Linked DNA regions of Drosophila melanogaster. The protein of the gene in region 3 interacts with the protein of the main gene of each other region in a pairwise test. Each region holds a gene or a part of one and is shown on either strand. Other genes may lie near its edges.

Evidence for each region.
Region 1: the proteins of pim (region 3) and thr interact in a two-hybrid assay, tested with the Drosophila melanogaster proteins (2 studies listed by BioGRID).
Region 2: the proteins of pim (region 3) and Sse interact in a two-hybrid assay, tested with the Drosophila melanogaster proteins (2 studies listed by BioGRID).

What each region holds. Positions count from the first base shown.
Region 1 is NT_033778.4:17,860,767-17,868,245, forward strand, and holds thr (three rows), read right to left. Parts: upstream 5,198-7,479; 5' UTR 5,085-5,197; coding exon 4,785-5,084; intron 4,730-4,784; coding exon 3,740-4,729; intron 3,682-3,739; coding exon 832-3,681; 3' UTR 748-831; coding exon of another isoform or gene 563-747; 3' UTR 507-562; downstream 1-506. Other genes in the region: CG14490 (uncharacterized protein), read left to right, coding at 33-441, 563-747; mapmodulin, read right to left, coding at 6,444-6,487, 6,560-6,793, 7,017-7,322. UniProt on the Drosophila melanogaster protein: Required specifically for chromosome disjunction during all mitoses; maternally provided protein is sufficient until mitosis 14 then zygotic protein is required.
Region 2 is NT_037436.4:5,659,052-5,664,333, reverse strand, and holds Sse (separase), read left to right. Parts: upstream 1-2,086; 5' UTR 2,087-2,179; coding exon 2,180-2,252; intron 2,253-2,336; coding exon 2,337-2,532; intron 2,533-2,595; coding exon 2,596-3,067; intron 3,068-3,124; coding exon 3,125-3,484; intron 3,485-3,538; coding exon 3,539-3,837; intron 3,838-3,894; coding exon 3,895-4,220; intron 4,221-4,276; coding exon 4,277-4,455; 3' UTR 4,456-4,634; downstream 4,635-5,282.
Region 3 is NT_033779.5:10,361,138-10,364,836, reverse strand, and holds pim (pimples), read right to left. Parts: upstream 1,849-3,699; 5' UTR 1,739-1,848; coding exon 1,699-1,738; intron 1,636-1,698; coding exon 1,312-1,635; intron 1,249-1,311; coding exon 1,013-1,248; 3' UTR 745-1,012; downstream 1-744. Other genes in the region: Cand1 (Cullin-associated and neddylation-dissociated 1), read left to right, coding at 2,330-2,374, 2,440-2,823, 2,882-3,171, 3,253-3,415, 3,476-3,699.

The DNA.
Region 1 (7,479 bases), on a different chromosome or scaffold from region 3:
CGGACTTGCTCCCGCGCTCAGTCATCGAAGACATGTCGTCGCGTACGAGCGGATATAGTAGTGGAGTTCGCTCTCAACGTTATCCTGGTGGGCAGTACCAGGGCAAATGGTTGGGCCAGCAGCCTCACGGGTTTGGGGTAAAGCAAACGAGCAGTGGACTTGTCTACGAGGGTCACTGGCAGAAGGGTCAACGGCATGGCATCGGAAGTTTGCGTCGCAAGGAGCTCGATGGCCGCATGGAACGCATCTACGTGGGTCAGTGGCGGGAGAACAAGCGGAGTGGCGAGGGCAAGCAGTTCTATCCGGACGGATCCGTCTACTTTGGTCAGTGGCTAGCGGACCAGCGAAGTGGAGAGGGCATCCTATGGCAGGCGGATGGCGGCATCTATGTGGGCGAGTGGCTTCGGGACAAGATGCACGAAAAGGGTTTACTTTTCACGGGTGAGTGTGATAAAGAAATAAGATATGTTCCTTTGGATGTATTTGTTTCATTTTATTTATTTTTTCGCAACTTTAAAAATGCATAAAGATTATAGATAATAAGTTAATATGTTATCCATAGCAACGGGAAATCGCTACGTGGGTCAATTTGAAGGAGGCTGCAAATCGGGCTCAGGTGTATTTTACCATGCCAGCAATGGACAGCGGATTCAGCACGGTTTTTGGAGCAAGGACATCTGTAGAACGTCACTACTGTCCCTGCCACAAGATAAAAACAATGAATTTATGTCAAAAGCTCTTTTGTAACACTTACACACAATATATATATATATTTAAATACCAAGACATTTTCGATAAGAATAAATACGAACTAAGGAGACTACTATCTAATCAGTGCCGATGCCGTGTGCGTGTGCTAATGGACTCCGTTTCGGGAGCCTGTGCTTCCAAAACCTGGCGCCTCGTTCGCTTGGATGAAAGAGTCGCTGTCTTTGGTGTCTCTACTGGTTGGCGCAGCCTGGCTCTGGTGCTCCGTGTACTTGTAGTTATTGTCGGCGTTTCTACTATTTCCAAGCTATTATCCAATGTTAGGACTTTACAAGCTTTGGATGTGGCCTTGGGTTTTGCCTTCTCCCTACTTTTTGGTTGTGTCTTCTTTGTGGACACCAAAGGTGAATCGTCATCGTCGCTTATCTCGATCGCTTGGCAGGCATTTAGATCCACGTGATCCGAAGGCGGTGTATTCTCTGTTCCGCTGCCACCGCTGCTACTGCAACTGGTAGCACTTGGTGGTCGTAGTTCCAGCTCCTCGTAAATTCTGAATCGAGGTGCCTTTTTGGCCGACTGTTTAACTTTAGACGCCGTATTCTTGACTGCTGAAACCGATCCTATTGCGGTTCGTTTCTTATCTTCGGGTGAGTGATTGAATACCAAAGCACGTCGAAGGATTTTGACCTGTGGCTTATCCTGACCCACGGGTTTGAGTTCTAACTGAGCCGTCTTTAGCTGAGCCAAAAAATTGTACTCGAAGTTAATGTCGACCGCGCGTGATCGCATTTTAAGGCCCAATTGAGCCGTTGATATAGCCTCTACATGCTTTCGCGCAAAGCGAAGATAGTTCAGATGATACAGCTGCTGGGCATGCAACATGGGATACAAAGCGCTACTCATCGGAGGTTTTTCCTGCATCCAACTATGCGCTCTTCCATAGAATTCGTCCAATTGTTCGCTGTTTCTCTGCAGAAAGCGGAGACGTGCATGTAGACAGCCCGTTACAAAGTACAAGCATTGCAGCTGGGAATTCTCTCGAAGATTCGCTGGCGCCACATCGAGTGTTATGTAGCGATCCAAGTCCAGTTGGGGATTTGGGCTATGTGGTCGCATTTTGAGCAGATTCGGCGAGGCCATATTTAATAGCTGCTGCTTTCTGATCGGCTCCACCAACTGGAGGAGATGCATATTACTAGCCAGATCTCTAATTGCTACATCCTTAATCGCTTCCTTTTCCGGCCTACTCGTTGGATTCAGCTGTTTTATACCTAAACAATGCTCGATGAGTCTCAACTTCGATTGCGCCTTGTCGAAACTTTCCATTTGCAAATTGGTCCATAACCATGCAAGGAATACCTCTATGGCTCTTAAAGCCAAGCCAGATTGGAGTACCAAATGTAGTGCAATGTTGGAGAAGGACAGTCTTTCGCTTAATCTGTTCGCAGAGCACTCGGTGCTTTCCCTGACAAGAGTCGAAAGAAGCAGCTGCAATGAGCCGCCATCTAAACTGGATAGATTGCAAAAACTTCGCACATTGTCCAGAAGAATGTCCAATTGACGCAGAGGAGTCGGCAGCCTGCAATTCGTTGGCTTCCTTTGCTGATACCCAATTCGAAAGCGCACCGTTTGCAGTGTAAGCAATACAATATCACTTTTTCCTTGTCTCTCAGGAAACTCTTCGCGAAGTTGTTCCACATGCAATAGAAGCAACTGGGCATGACTATAGCATTCCATTCTGGCATAGTAACTGGCGAGGTGACAAAAACAGAGCATTACCGTAGTTTGCTGACGCTTGAAGAATTTGCCATTTTTCAATTGAGGCCACAAATCATCCAGCAATTCCTCTGCTACTTCCACTTCCTCGCCGAGTTTCAGATTTAAACGAGAACTAACCTCATTCTGTGACAGAAAATGATTTAGGGCACGCAGATAGGTAAAACGATCTTCCAGCAAGCGACCCATCCTCAGAAGCAACAGCCAGGCATCATCCTCTTCTGACTGATACCCCATACTTGAAAGTGCATTGGCAGTAGCGATGGCATCGTCAATCAATGCCTCCCAATCAATAGACGTTTCATTTGCGCTCAATGGCTCTTGATCTGCTCGATCGAAGAAGTTGCTGAAGGCCGAGATGGCTTCACTAGCATAGTTGACCAATCGCTGCTCCCTTTGTATGTTCATCTGCCATAAATTCTTGCTGAGTAGCAGCTCCTCGAACATATTTTCCGTTATCTCCTTGGTGGAAACTTTGGTTTTTTGAGCCTCCAGTGCGTCCAGTAGTAGTCCCACACTTGCGTGGCCCAGGCACAAGTTATCCATTCGACTGAGCGAACGTTGTTGCCTTAGCTTATCATGAACCTCTATGCATTTCTTCGAAATCGAGTCATCCTTTCGCATTTGTCTGGCCAAGAGTACCAGATGATAGTCACTCGTTCGGCAACGAATAAGTGATTCCATATGAGCCGTAGAAGGACTCCTCAAATAGTGTAGTAAGGCAAAGAAATCGGTATCATACAGCTGTTTCTTCTGGTCCGGAGTGAGAGGGAAAGGTAGTGGCGTGGACTCGTGCCACTCGTAGACACACCTTTTGATCTCGGTGCCCTTTTTTCCCAGATTGTGATAGTACAAACAGACCTGTGATCTTAATCGTGCCGGATTCGTAATCGAGGCCAAGTAACTGGCTTGAATTCGACATGCTATATTGGAATCGCCGCAATGGGAGCTGGCCTTAAAGAGGCGTCGGAGTAAACTGCTCATATCCTGGTCGGCAACCAAAGGTCGCAGCTTCTGCAGTGGCTCCAAAAGTGGCAGCAGCACGGACATTTGCTCCGGACAGGTGACCTGATCAGCCACGTATGTCAGCTGGCGCACTAGCTTAATGATCTCCACACTGGTGGGACCCAAACACTTCATGGTCTTAGCTACATCCATTGAGTATTTGACTACTCCCAGTAAGGGCTTGTGAGGGCTCTGCAATAGTATTGAAATGTAGCATTAAAATTCCACAAAATTAGATAAAAATACCCACCACATTTGTTTTCTGCTCCGCCGCCGGTTTCCAATTAATATACGCATCTAATGCGCACAATCCATACGCCAATATGCAGTGCCGTCGCACGCTCTTGCATGCCTCGTGGGAGCAAGTGCAGCCCAAAGGACTCCTCGTAATATTAACCGCCAAGCTAGCACACGTCTGAAGCAACTGAAAGTGCGCTGTGTAGATATCGGGGCTGCTCTCTCCGTCAAACTGCTGCCAAAATATCTGAAAAGGACTCTGCAACTTACTGTTACTTTGATGGATGAGCACCTGTAGCAATTGAATGGCCACCAGAAAATCCGCTAGCCACTGTTCTTTGGCATGCGAGGCTACTTTGTGCTCGAAGAAGTGCTGAAACTTGCTAGACAAGTCAATGTAGGTGCGCTTAAAGTCGCCTGTGGGTTCCCGAACAAAGATTAACTTGATATAGTAGTACATCAGCTGTAGAGCATAGCACAGGTTTGATTCCTGGCGAAATAGTTCCTTGCTCATGCGCAGCAGCTGCAATGACATCTGTTGATTGGACTGTGGACTGAACATGTCGATTTGTACGAGAGCCAACGTGAGACTCAGGCACTCAGGGAATAAGTTGGCCAGGTTCGAACTGGTGCTGCTGGCCAGGAGCATAAGCAGCGCGTTGAACATTTTGGCAAGACTCTCCGACGGCAGGAAGCTTAGGGACTTGAAGAATGATCTACTTCTTTTGCCAAATAAACTCTCGTTTAGTTGAACTAGAAGCGTTGCGCATAGACTTATTTGCCTTTGCGTCATGGCTGCGAATAGATCTCCCAATGATTCCAAAGCATAACACAATTGACTTGTAGCTTCCAAGGGGAGTTTTTGCTTCTGCAGCAGCACATGGAAACCATTGAAGTGGGTCAAATGTATGTCCAGATATATTTTGTAGTCTGATTCTTCTTGCAGACGGCAGGGTTGTTGTCGGATGAGGTTGTACAGCTTCTGACAGGCTTCAATGGATCGCTGTGAACGGGAGAATTGGTTAGAAAGATTCGAAGATTCTTATAGCGACTCCTACCTGATGAAACAAGCCATGATGTATGTACCGCAGGCTGGACAAGTGCGCTTCCCATAAGCTTGGCTTCTCCTCGCAGGGAACTACGCGTGGCAGCATTATGCCCATGATGTCGCAGTAAAGATCCGAGTTCTGGTGCAGATTATCCTTTAAGGCGAGGCAAATATGGCGCAATACATTCACTTCGTATCTCAGAGGTAGTCCATCGCCAGACAACTCCCGGAATTTGGCTTCCACCGTTTTGCGGACTTTTTCCACATCGGAGCGGCTGCCCTTCAGCTGGGTGGCTATATCAGTAGACATTTTTTCAAAGGGAATTGGCACATTTAACTAGTTTAACTGCGACGCTTCCTTTTTTGTTGCTTTGCGCCAGATTTTGAGATCCAGTGTGACCGTCCATGCTAAAGCTGGAAATCCTTTAACGATAACATCGATATCTCTAGTTTTCATATCAGAACACAAATACTACAAATTCTTGTGGAAAATACTAAACTTCCATGCTCATTTCCGATAACGATACAATTTGTTGCTTTATTGATATCGAGATTTAAATAAAAAAAAATACGCTCATATGCGTAAGCTCTTCTCTTTAATAGAAATCATTTTCCCATTTTCCCCCGTAAAAGACAATTTTAAAATGATGTAGTTTATGTATTTCAGTTTCAATGGGCTGGTAAAGACACATCTCATCTCGTTAAATTAACGCGGGGCCTGCTTTAATAATAATCGGTTAATTACTTGTGTATTAAATGAAAAGTCTTGTCTAAAATTGTTTTGTGTATAAGATTTACTCGCCACATTTAATGAAAACACTACTGCCAATGAATAAGTGGAAACATTTCGGTATGTGGTAAAAGTACACTTAAAAGTATATAAAGGTAAACAATTCGGGTTGCTCAAAAGTGAGTGCTCTACGTTTACAGAATGACGCGGAGATAAAGTTTGTGTATCTGGGAGGTGGGTGATGGGTAACAATGTAAGTGTGTTTAAATCGCCTTGAGCAGAAAGTGGGCGAAGTAGGATGCTTAACTTATGCGTATTTAAAGAAGGAATGACTTAAGAGTTAGTTAAAAGTTCTTAGCAGTAAATTGTGTGATCGTTTTCACGCGAAACGTTGACAAATCCGCAGTTGTTCAAATAACGCCGGAAAGCTATTGTTTGATTTTCGTGACTGATTGAAATTTGAAAACAAGATGCTGCTGGATGGCTAAAAATTGTACACGTTGTAATTGTGTAATCTTTAACATAGTGATTTGGATTTCATGTTGCGAATCCTGAAGATGGCGAAGGTGTTTAAAATGAAACTGGAACTTGGGCTCGGATGAGGCTATACTAATGCGACTTGCTTAATTGGTTGTTTGCTTGGTTTCCTTTGCATTCCTCCTCGATTTTTCTCGCTTAAACATGTATTTTTTTCTTGTTTAGCTTTGTTTGATTATTACGTTCATTATGCTCCTCTTTGTTTGGGTTGTTTGTTGTTTTTTCTTTTTGTCGATTTCTTCTTTCATTAGCTTACATTTTAGAGAAACAAATTGTGGGTTTCCTAAAGGATTTATCATCTTTTTCTATCAAAATATGATGTGTGTGTGTGTTTTTGTTTTGTGTGTGGGTGTATATTTAAATTTATAACGTACAAAGACGCTATACCGACAGATCAGGGTTTTAACCATCATGCTTTCTCTTCTTGCCTCTGACTTGCGACTCGTCTGGAAAGAAAAAAAGGAAAATATATGGCATTAAGAACTAATGCTGTCTGGGATATAAATAATTGAACTTACCTGCTTCCTTTTCGCCATCCTTGTCCTTGGCATTCACTGATGCAGCCGATTCGTTTGCATCACCATCGGCATCATCAATATCGGAATCCTCTTCCTCGTCCTCCTCGCCAGCCTCGTCTTCGCCTTCCCAATCAGAGTTATCCTCTTCCAAATCGTCATTGTACACCTCCGACAGGGACACTTCACCATTCGCCTCTTCGTCGCTATCATCGCTGTCGTCATCTTCGTCGGAAACTGAAAAATCAAAGGTAAATTTGATTAAACCAACTTGCTTGTTTGTACATCTCGAACTTCCCTAAATCGATTTTTTAATGTGTTCAACGGAATTGAGATCAACAAACCTACGAACTACTATAACGCTTCTTGTGGGTAAGAGAATCTTTACTTTTTCTGCAGCATTTTCGAGTTAGAGAAGTTCGACTAATACTGAAGAAAAGTTCAGAAACGTTATGCTTACAATATGTAGCACTGCCCAAATTTAAAATGGCAAGGAACCAATACAGCAGGATTACAAAACTTAAGTTAGAATTGCTAGGAGGCTGCGGTGTGGCATTTATCACAGATTGTTCATCGGTTGAAGCATCAGTAGATTCCCTTAGCTGCAACTCTTTCAAGTATTCATCTAATTCGTCTACTTCTTTGTCCTCCGATTGGGGAGGTGGTTTGTCCTGCAAACTTTTTTTCGCCTTAACCCGCTTCTCGAAAGCCTCGAGCTCGTCTAAATCGATCTCTAAACCATTTAAACAGAATGCATTGCACTTATCTGAAAGGCGACAAAAGCCACGGTTGAGTATATGATATTATTGTTAATACGAAGAAAGCGCGATTCACAATAAGCGATTAAGTTAAACAGACGGACAATGGAATTTTAATGGTGGTTACATGGAAATCTTTTATAAAAAAAAAACTCCTGAATTCTG
Region 2 (5,282 bases), on a different chromosome or scaffold from region 3:
TGCTACGCTCTTTCCGCTTTTTCAAATGGCTTTTCTTAGGATTTTTCTTATTATTTCAGCTGGTTTTTATACTTAGTTATTTTCTATTTTTTGTGAAGCTAGTTAAAAGCTTTATTTTGTTTATATTAGTATTTTTTGGAAGCAAGAAAAAGCGACAAAACACAACCGTCGACGTCGACTTCGAAATTCGTTTTGAGTCGCTCAAATGCAGAGGGATGCTGCGACGCCGACTGCGCAGTCGACCGCGACATCGCTGCAACTGTTGGAATGTGTGCCACACACACACACACATACTCTCGGTATTTTTTTTGTTTTTGGGGTGGCTTAGCTCTTGTTGTTTTTGGCCTTTCGTTACATGTGCTGCTGTGTGCGAAAGTTTTAATGTCTCCCCAATGCATATGTGTATGTGTGTGTGATTTGGCGTACGTGTGTGTTAATGTAATATTAATGTTATAATTTGCTAGGCGGAAAGGACAACGAACGTGCCGAGTTAGCGACATTAATAATGCAGCCAAAAAACATAAAGGATAAAGGCCAGTGAATTTAAAGGGGGGCTTGGTGATAGGGCTGGCTTAGTGGTGTGAGGGGGTGGTGTCTTTTCTTTTCCATCATGACAATCAAGCTAAAAAATTTCCGATTAAAGGATCAAGCCTCTCTTTTCCAACACTGGCCCACCAGGCAAAAGTTCTTGAACAGCACGTTTCCCGACAAAGTAAAAGTGAAAAGCAACATCAAAATTAATAAGTAGAAAGGATGCTGACGCTCGCGTCGCTGTCGCTGTCGGCAGTGGCAGCGGCCGCAGTAGCGGCAGAGGCAAAACCAAAGAGAGCAAAGGTCCTTATACCCCTGCGCCAATTCAATATTTATCGAAGCTTTCGTTGAGTTAAAACAGCGACCAGCTGCAGCTTCTCTAACGGTAATTATTCGCTCTAGCCGCTTGCACTTCAAAGTTTTTAAAGGTTTAACAAATGTTTTTGCATATTTTGAATATTGTTAACAACTCGTTTTAATTAGCAAGAAATACTTGAAAATTGTATTTCAGAAATAGGCGTGGCATCAAAGCTCGAGCCGCCCACTCGCATCGGTTAAATACCGTTATCTCTTGCTGCCTCCAAAAGACGTCATTAGAAAACTGCAGTTTGCAGCTGACGTCGGCAGAGGCGGCAGCAGAGCTCCAGACGCACGTCACAAAGTCTTGGAAAAAGTACATATTTAAAAATCAACAAAAAAGCCAGCTTAAAAGTTAACCAAAAGTCAAAAAATAAAATATTGTATCTCGGCTCGCATATGCATTAATTGGCCGCCTATATGTACGGTATGTACATATGTGTGTACTTGGCTTTTGTTGTTGCGTAAGGTTTTTAGGGCAACTAGAGGGTGTGGTTTAGGGTTGCCAAAAACTAAAAGGCTTTAAAGGCTAAGGGTTGACCCTCGGAAATGAATATGAACTGCATTTGATGGGAAAATAGCGCTAATATATTTTAATCAGACACTAAAACACTTGAACAAATATTTAATTGATGTTAAGGCTCCATTTTGAGAGGGTGTGGTTGCTGCGCAGCTTCCGCTGCTCATCCTTATTTAGGTGGCGTGGCAACCCTAACATCTGTTTTCCGGCCAACCTGCAATCTCTTGCACCTTTTCATCTCGATTCATGTTTTTATGAATGAACGGCCGCAAACATCAACAAGAGGGAAAGCTTTTTGCTGACAGCAAAACAACAAAAACGGGTGTACTAAAAGCTATAATGCCTTAAATCGTACGATTATAGTTTATTGGGCATAGGATGTTATAAAATTCTTAATTACTTTAAAACTACATAACTATGATCGTAAAAATTACAAGTTATCTGTAATTAATACAGTAATATGGCGTACCCGAATTGCTTGCAGAAAAGTAAATATTAATATTCATATTTTTAATTAAGTTTCATTTTTGTTAAAGCTTACGAATTTGACTAATATTAAGTACAATGCTTTTCACAATAATAACCGCGAAATTCAAAAAAAGTACTAGAAAATACCACAAAATGAGCTAGTTTCCTATCGCACATCGCCCATCGATAGCTCAGTGTTGGTAAAGGCTACAAGGCATCTATCGATATCGTCCGAAGAGGAGGAAGCAATTTGCGGACTCGAGTTTGAAAATAAGCAATTAAGTAAATAATAAATAATAGGAAATGCTGGAAACCGGTGACGAGGCTGAGATGCTGGCCGGTTTCACCAGTTCAGATGTTGGCCCCGAGGCGAAGGGTAACTATATAAGCAGACCCAGAAACTTCGAAATTCCCACTGCATCTTCGCAATAATATGTTAATGTTCATGTTTCTTCTGCAGAATATAATTTACTGCGCGCCGATGAGGAATACCGCAATGGCAATGTGGAGCACTCAATTTACTACCAGGTTAAAGCCCAGTTCCAGTCCACCGATCTGCGTTACCTTACCGAATCGGCGGAACTGGAAAATCAGCGTCCCACCGCAGAGGAGCTGATCAAATCAGCCACTAAACTGGAGAAAAAGGACTACAAAAGGTGATATATAAACTAACTAAACTCTTTTAAAACTCAAACAAACATTACCAACATTATTCTTAGCAAAAAATTTCTGCAGAACATCATCAAGTACCTCCAGCAAATGGAGCAGGAGAAACAGCCAAAGAAGCCAATCAACGAAATACCAGAGTATCTAGACTTCCTGGATGATGTCCAGGATCCTACAGAGGGTCTAACTCGCATTTCAGAGAAATGCAATAGTCTGCCCCAAGAATGGTGTGTCCTCCAGCTCTGCAAGAGCTTTAATCCCGCCACCACCTACTCCGTTTTCAATGAGATCATTGCCAGCGATGGAGCAATATATCTCACTCTGCTCCGACACTGTAGAAGTTCCCAACTGGGACCGATTTGCCTGAAAATTTCCAACGAAAATACGGCAAATCTCTTTCGAGAGTATAGCACTCTGGTGGAAAGATTTAGGCGAGTGGTAACCGTGGATCCACTCAACATGAAAGGTAAAGAGGCTAAGCAGAAGTATTGGGAGGAGCTGAATGGTTTTGACACTTTTCAGCAAGTAAGTACTACACATTAATATCAATGTATCTTATTAGCATTACTTTACCTCTTCTAGAAACTACTTGCCGACTTTCGGGACATAATATCTCCATATTCCTTTCTGTTCTTTGGCAAAAGATATGACTGCACTGTTGTTCAAAAACAAATCAAAGCCACCTATACTCGTGTTGACGATTTCTGTCTGCTTAATCAATGGGGTACCCACCAACGTGTTTTACTTTCCCAAGCGGCCTCGCATGCCAATCGACTGGAAATCGCAGATCTCAAACTCATCTGCTATGAGCTGTCGAGCAACGAAAATGAGATCCAGTCGGCATACGAATTGCTTAAGGGTTTGGCCAGCGACTGGGCGGAAGTGGAGGAGCGTCAGCCCCTGGCGAGCAGAAGATTTCCCATCATCCTGGTAGTCGATGAGGTAGTTCATCTGAATTTCTATACTATAATACATACTACTATATTATTTATGTAGCGTCTAGACCACCTCCATTGGGAACAACTAGTCACCGTGCAGGAATTCTCCCGCGTCAAATCACTGCATTGCCTATGGCGCTTGTTCCAGAATCACAAATCAAACATAAAGCATGGCTACTACACAACAAATATTAAACGTGGCATGTGTGTAATAAACCCAGATGCGGATTTGGTCAACTCCGGCCGCAGGCTGCGTAGCTTTTTTGAGTACTGGCTCTCCCAGTGGCAGCATCTTTTTGAAACCGTGCCCAATGAGGAGGTGATGGTGAAACAGGCGCTACAGGCGGATTGCTTTGTGTAAGATATGATTGCAAGCGAACAATGGCATTCTAATACTTTTGCCTTAAATTTTAGATACGCAGGTCACGGTTCTGGGCTGCAGTACGTCAATGGTCGCATAATTTGCCGGGCTCGGGTACGCAGCGTTGTTTTTCTATTCGGCTGCGATTCTACACGCATGTTGGGCACGGGCCTGTACAGCGCATTGTATGGAGCCCATGATTATTACCATGGAGCTCTGTGTCCTTCGATAGTTGGTACTCTCATGCCCGCCTTGGATGGTAATATGGATACTGTTTCGGTGACAATATTGAGTCGTTGGTTGGCCCCGGGGGATAACAAAGTGATTCCGTGGACACATATTGATCGGGTGCCTTGGCTCAAAAATGGCATTATAAAAGGTAATGTCTTATTTATATTATTAAGTTACATATTTAAGGAATTCTTTTAAATTTAGGAAAAGATGAAACCACGCCCACCATGAACGATCAACCCAACTACCATCTGGGCAGCCTGTGCTCTATCCTATCTCTCGTACAGCAAGGAAAAGTGGAGCCGAATATCTACAACTGCTGCATTTACGTGTGCCGCGGACTTCCCGCATGGAATTTGGCCGTGGAAAAGCTGCCTTTATAGCTCATTTCGTCGTGGAGTCGATCTCCCTAAGCAAAGTTTTGCGTATGGAACTGTGTACAATAATTTAATTTAATTGAACTACTTCATTCAAGTGGAAAGTGGTGCTCAAAGTTTGCATTAAACGCTAAATGTAACACTCAGAATAGTAAAAATAAACTAAACATTTATATATTAGGAAGAAATTCCAAGGCACTTACCTTTTCTTAGTTTATTTGGAAGATTGAGTGATGTTTCCTTATGGATTTAGCACTTTAACTGAAGTGTCCTTGATTTCGGTTAAGTTTTTAGTTTTAAGTAGAAGTTTTAAACATGTTTAGACTTTGTACATTGTGTTGTTGGAACTTTAAACCGTTTGAGAACTATTTAGATTAATTGATTTAGGTTAGAGTTTTCGTTTTCCTTAGTTGGAATCATGCCAGATACAGAGTACAGATTCATTCTTACATTTGCCTGTGCAAGAGTAGGGAGTGAAAAACATTAATTCGAGTACAAATCGCAATGTGGGTGAGGTAAAGTAAAAAAGTGAAAGTGTGGTGCAAACGACAGTCAGAGAGAAAGATATTGAGTGAAGGAAACATTGAGAATTTATAAAAATGCAATATAATTGAAATGCGAGTGGGGATTAGGCTAAACCCTCGTCCACGGGGCGAATGTGCAATAATGCCTGAATGCCCAGAAACGCCCATATATTTATTTACTCGCACTCGTACTCGGGCTTGTCGCCCAGTTTGCTCTCCAAAAACGCGACTCATCTCACCTCGTTCCCATCCTCGTCCTCGGGTTGCCCTTTTGGCCAGAGCTTTTCCCCCACCGAACCTGCGGCGACC
Region 3 (3,699 bases):
CTGCCACGTCTTTAAACATATGTACATCGCAACATCCCTCGGCAATTACGAGTTTGTCGCCTAAGTCTTTCGATTCGGTGTGGTCGGAAAGTTTGTTAAATGCGTATGTATTTTGTACCAATTGCCGTATTAGGTCATAATTTTAACACAAACACAATTATTAGTGAACAATTGCACATCTTAAGTGAGTCTTTTTATGTTCATTTGCACGAGTATATGTTTATTTGTTAGATTTATACCTCTTTTGCATTTACATTTCGTTTTATACACTCATATTGTTAATTTTCACTTTTATTTTATCCAGGAGAACGGACCACTAAGGTCACCAGCGAGACGAGAAACCTTTCTGCAGCAATGTAAAAAAAACTGGATACATTACTGTGCCGCAGTGTTGCCAACTGTTGGCCACCAGAAAAAAGCCAGACGTCATTTAGCGGGAAAAGGCTAACAAGATGCAAACAAAAGCTAGCTAGCTGGGAAAATATTTTGGTTTACTGAACAAAAATGTTTAATTCCCAAATAAATATAAACTTTTCATATTAGGCAAACACAGAGGAAACCCTAAAAATAGATTAGAATTATTCCACCAAATATCAAATTCAATATAAACGGAGTGAATATACTTAAGCCCCGCGAATGCTGATAAATATCAAGAGACAAAAGGTGGAAGCAATAAACTCTGTTTACATTCACAACTGAACTCCAAAGCTCCATAAATTAATCTCCCAGTTAGTTTTTATAGTTGCTTTAATTCAAAATCACTTCCAAACGAGGTACATCGTACACATATAATTGCCTGTTGGAGGCTTAATGTCGGTTCTTAAACTACTAAATATATTGTAGCGTAAAAAAAATATTTTTCACAAATGTGATTCGAGACAACAAACTTGGATAGCTAATGGTATAACAGTTTCTCTTAGCATAACATTAATAAATAATTAATTAGTAGTACAAAGATACCTAGCTAAAAAATATTAAACTACAATTAATCATAGAACTTTTAAACAAGGATCTAAAATAGAACATCAATGCCTTCCAAGTTAGGCAATGGGGGATATAAATTTAATAAGTATTCAGGCTCTGCAGGCTCCATGTTTTCTGTGTTGTATATGTATGGCAGGTCAGTAAAATCTAGGGGCGGAAGGCATCTGTTTTCCAAATTATTTTCCAATGTGCGCAGATCAAGATAAAGTTGATCCAATAGTCCTTCATAGCCCTCTTGATTTTCCGACCAGGTCTCTGTGACCGCTGTAATAATACAACTTATAGTACAATTTTCAAGGGGAGTTGTTTAATATGAGCGGTACTTACGCTTGCTGCAGTTCTTCAAACATTTCTCGTTCGGAAAGTCAGTGTAGTTGAACAAATTGACGACTCTGTATTCGCAATTCAATACGTAGGCGCCCAAAAAGCAGCTATTTGTTTTATACCTAACTTCCTCGCGATCCCTGCTGACCACATTTTGTTTGGGGGCCTTTCGCAGCGAAAGCTTGGCAATACTACCCTCGAGTTTCAGAGAAGTGCTTTTGAACGGGGTTATTCCAGGAGTTTGGTGCATCACATTGTCAAGGTTACCAAGAGGTTTCTTCAATACGGAATTTGTAGGAACTCCATTTTTAATGGGATTCGCTGGCACTGCAATGATAAATGGCTATGTAATTACTAACACGAACGGGAGTCGAACCTAATTCAACTTACAATTAATGCCGGTGTTTTCCTTGTTTAAAATCTGATCCATTTTGTTAGCATTTATTGGTGTTAAAAAGGTATTTTGATTGAATTCTAGCAGTGAGCTGCGGTTTAGTTTAAAATAATTCCTGAAAACGAGCGGCACTTTTCTAGAGATGGGAGACTCTTAGTGCCACATAGCTGATATATCGTTCATCTGAAACGATGGTAATGACACAAAGTATTTTACTAGTAAATAAATTGGGAATTAATATTTGATAATATATATATTTATATTTTGATTGTCATGTATTAACTCAAAAATAAAATAACCTAAATATAAAAATTTACTAGTACATAAAATCTTGTTCCAAAATATTTCTCCACCGTATTTTATACCACGAAAATGTACCAAAACCATTATCGGCATCCAAAAGGCATTAGGGATTATAAAGTGGGTTTTTTAGTTTTTCAAAGTGGGCCCACTTAAGCAGCCTTTATAACAAAATTGAGTGAATATAAAACTTGGAGATTCAATACCGGAAAAATTTCAGTAAATTTTCAAGTTTTAGAACACCAAAAATAGGGCAGCCCAATACAAATACACAATATTTCACTTATCAGTTAATTGCTATCGATCGAACGTTTCAAAGCCTTCGCTATGGCGTCACATCAGTACCACCAAATTGCCAATTTGCTGGAAAAAGTATGTATAGAATTTCATTTTTGCAACATAACGAAATTCTAATTCCGCTCTCTCGTCTGCTGCAGATGACGTCGACGGACAAGGACTTCCGTTTCATGGCGACAAACGATCTGATGACGGAGCTACAGAAGGATAGCATCATCCTGGACGACGAGTCCGAGAAAAAGGTGGTGCGAATGGTGCTCAAGCTGCTGGAAGACAAGAACGGCGAAGTTCAGAACCTGGCTGTCAAGTGCCTGGGTCCCCTGGTCAACAAGGTGAAGGAGATCCAGGTGGAGACCATCGTGGACTCGCTGTGCGCCAACATGATGTCCAACACGGAGCAGCTGCGCGACATATCGAGTATTGGCCTAAAGACAGTGATTGCCGAGCTGCCGCAGTCCTCAAACTCCCTGGCCCCAAATGTCTGTCAAAGGATCACCGGCAAACTGAGCACAGCAATTGAGAAGGTGCGTTATATTGCTATTCCCTAGGCACCCAAACGTTTAATCCGTTGTTCCTTAATAGGAGGACGTCTCTGTGAAACTGGAGTCGCTGGACATTCTGGCCGATCTGCTCTCTCGCTTCGGGGAGTTCCTCGTTCCCTTCCACAGCACCATTCTGAAAGCTCTGATGCCCCAGTTGGCCTCATCGCGCCAGGCTGTTCGCAAGCGTACCATCGTGGCCCTGTCATTTCTGCTGATCCAGGCCAATAGCAACGCCTACAACGGTGTCATCGATCATCTGCTCGATGGCCTAGAGAACCCACCAAATCCAGCTGCCATTCGAACTTACATTCAGTGCCTGGCTTCGATATGGTAAGTTCCAATTCCTGAAATTGTTATATATTTTATGCCATATGATCTTTAGATGCAATTTTATTTAACTTTACTCTTTAGTCGACAGGCTGGCCATCGACTTTGCAATCACATTGATCGCTCCATGCTCCTGCTGAGCCAGTACAGCCAGCGGGATGACGATGAGCTGCGCGAGTTTTGTCTGCAGGCCTGCGAAGCTTTCGTCATGCGCTGCCCAGATGCCATAAACCCGCATATTCCCATGGTAAGGAGTACACATGCTTTATGTTCTCATTCACGTTTAATAGCTTATGGGTTTTGTTAGATCCTGGAGCTGTGCCTCAACTATATCACCTACGATCCAAACTACAACTACGAGACGGATGATGGCGACACTGGCAATGCCATGGACACGGAGGATGATGAGTACGTCGATAGTGAGGAGTACAGTGACGACGACGACATGAGCTGGAAGGTTCGTCGCGCTGCAGCCAAGTGTCTGGAGGTCTTGATATCCACACGGCAGGAGCTCGTCGAGGACTTCTATCG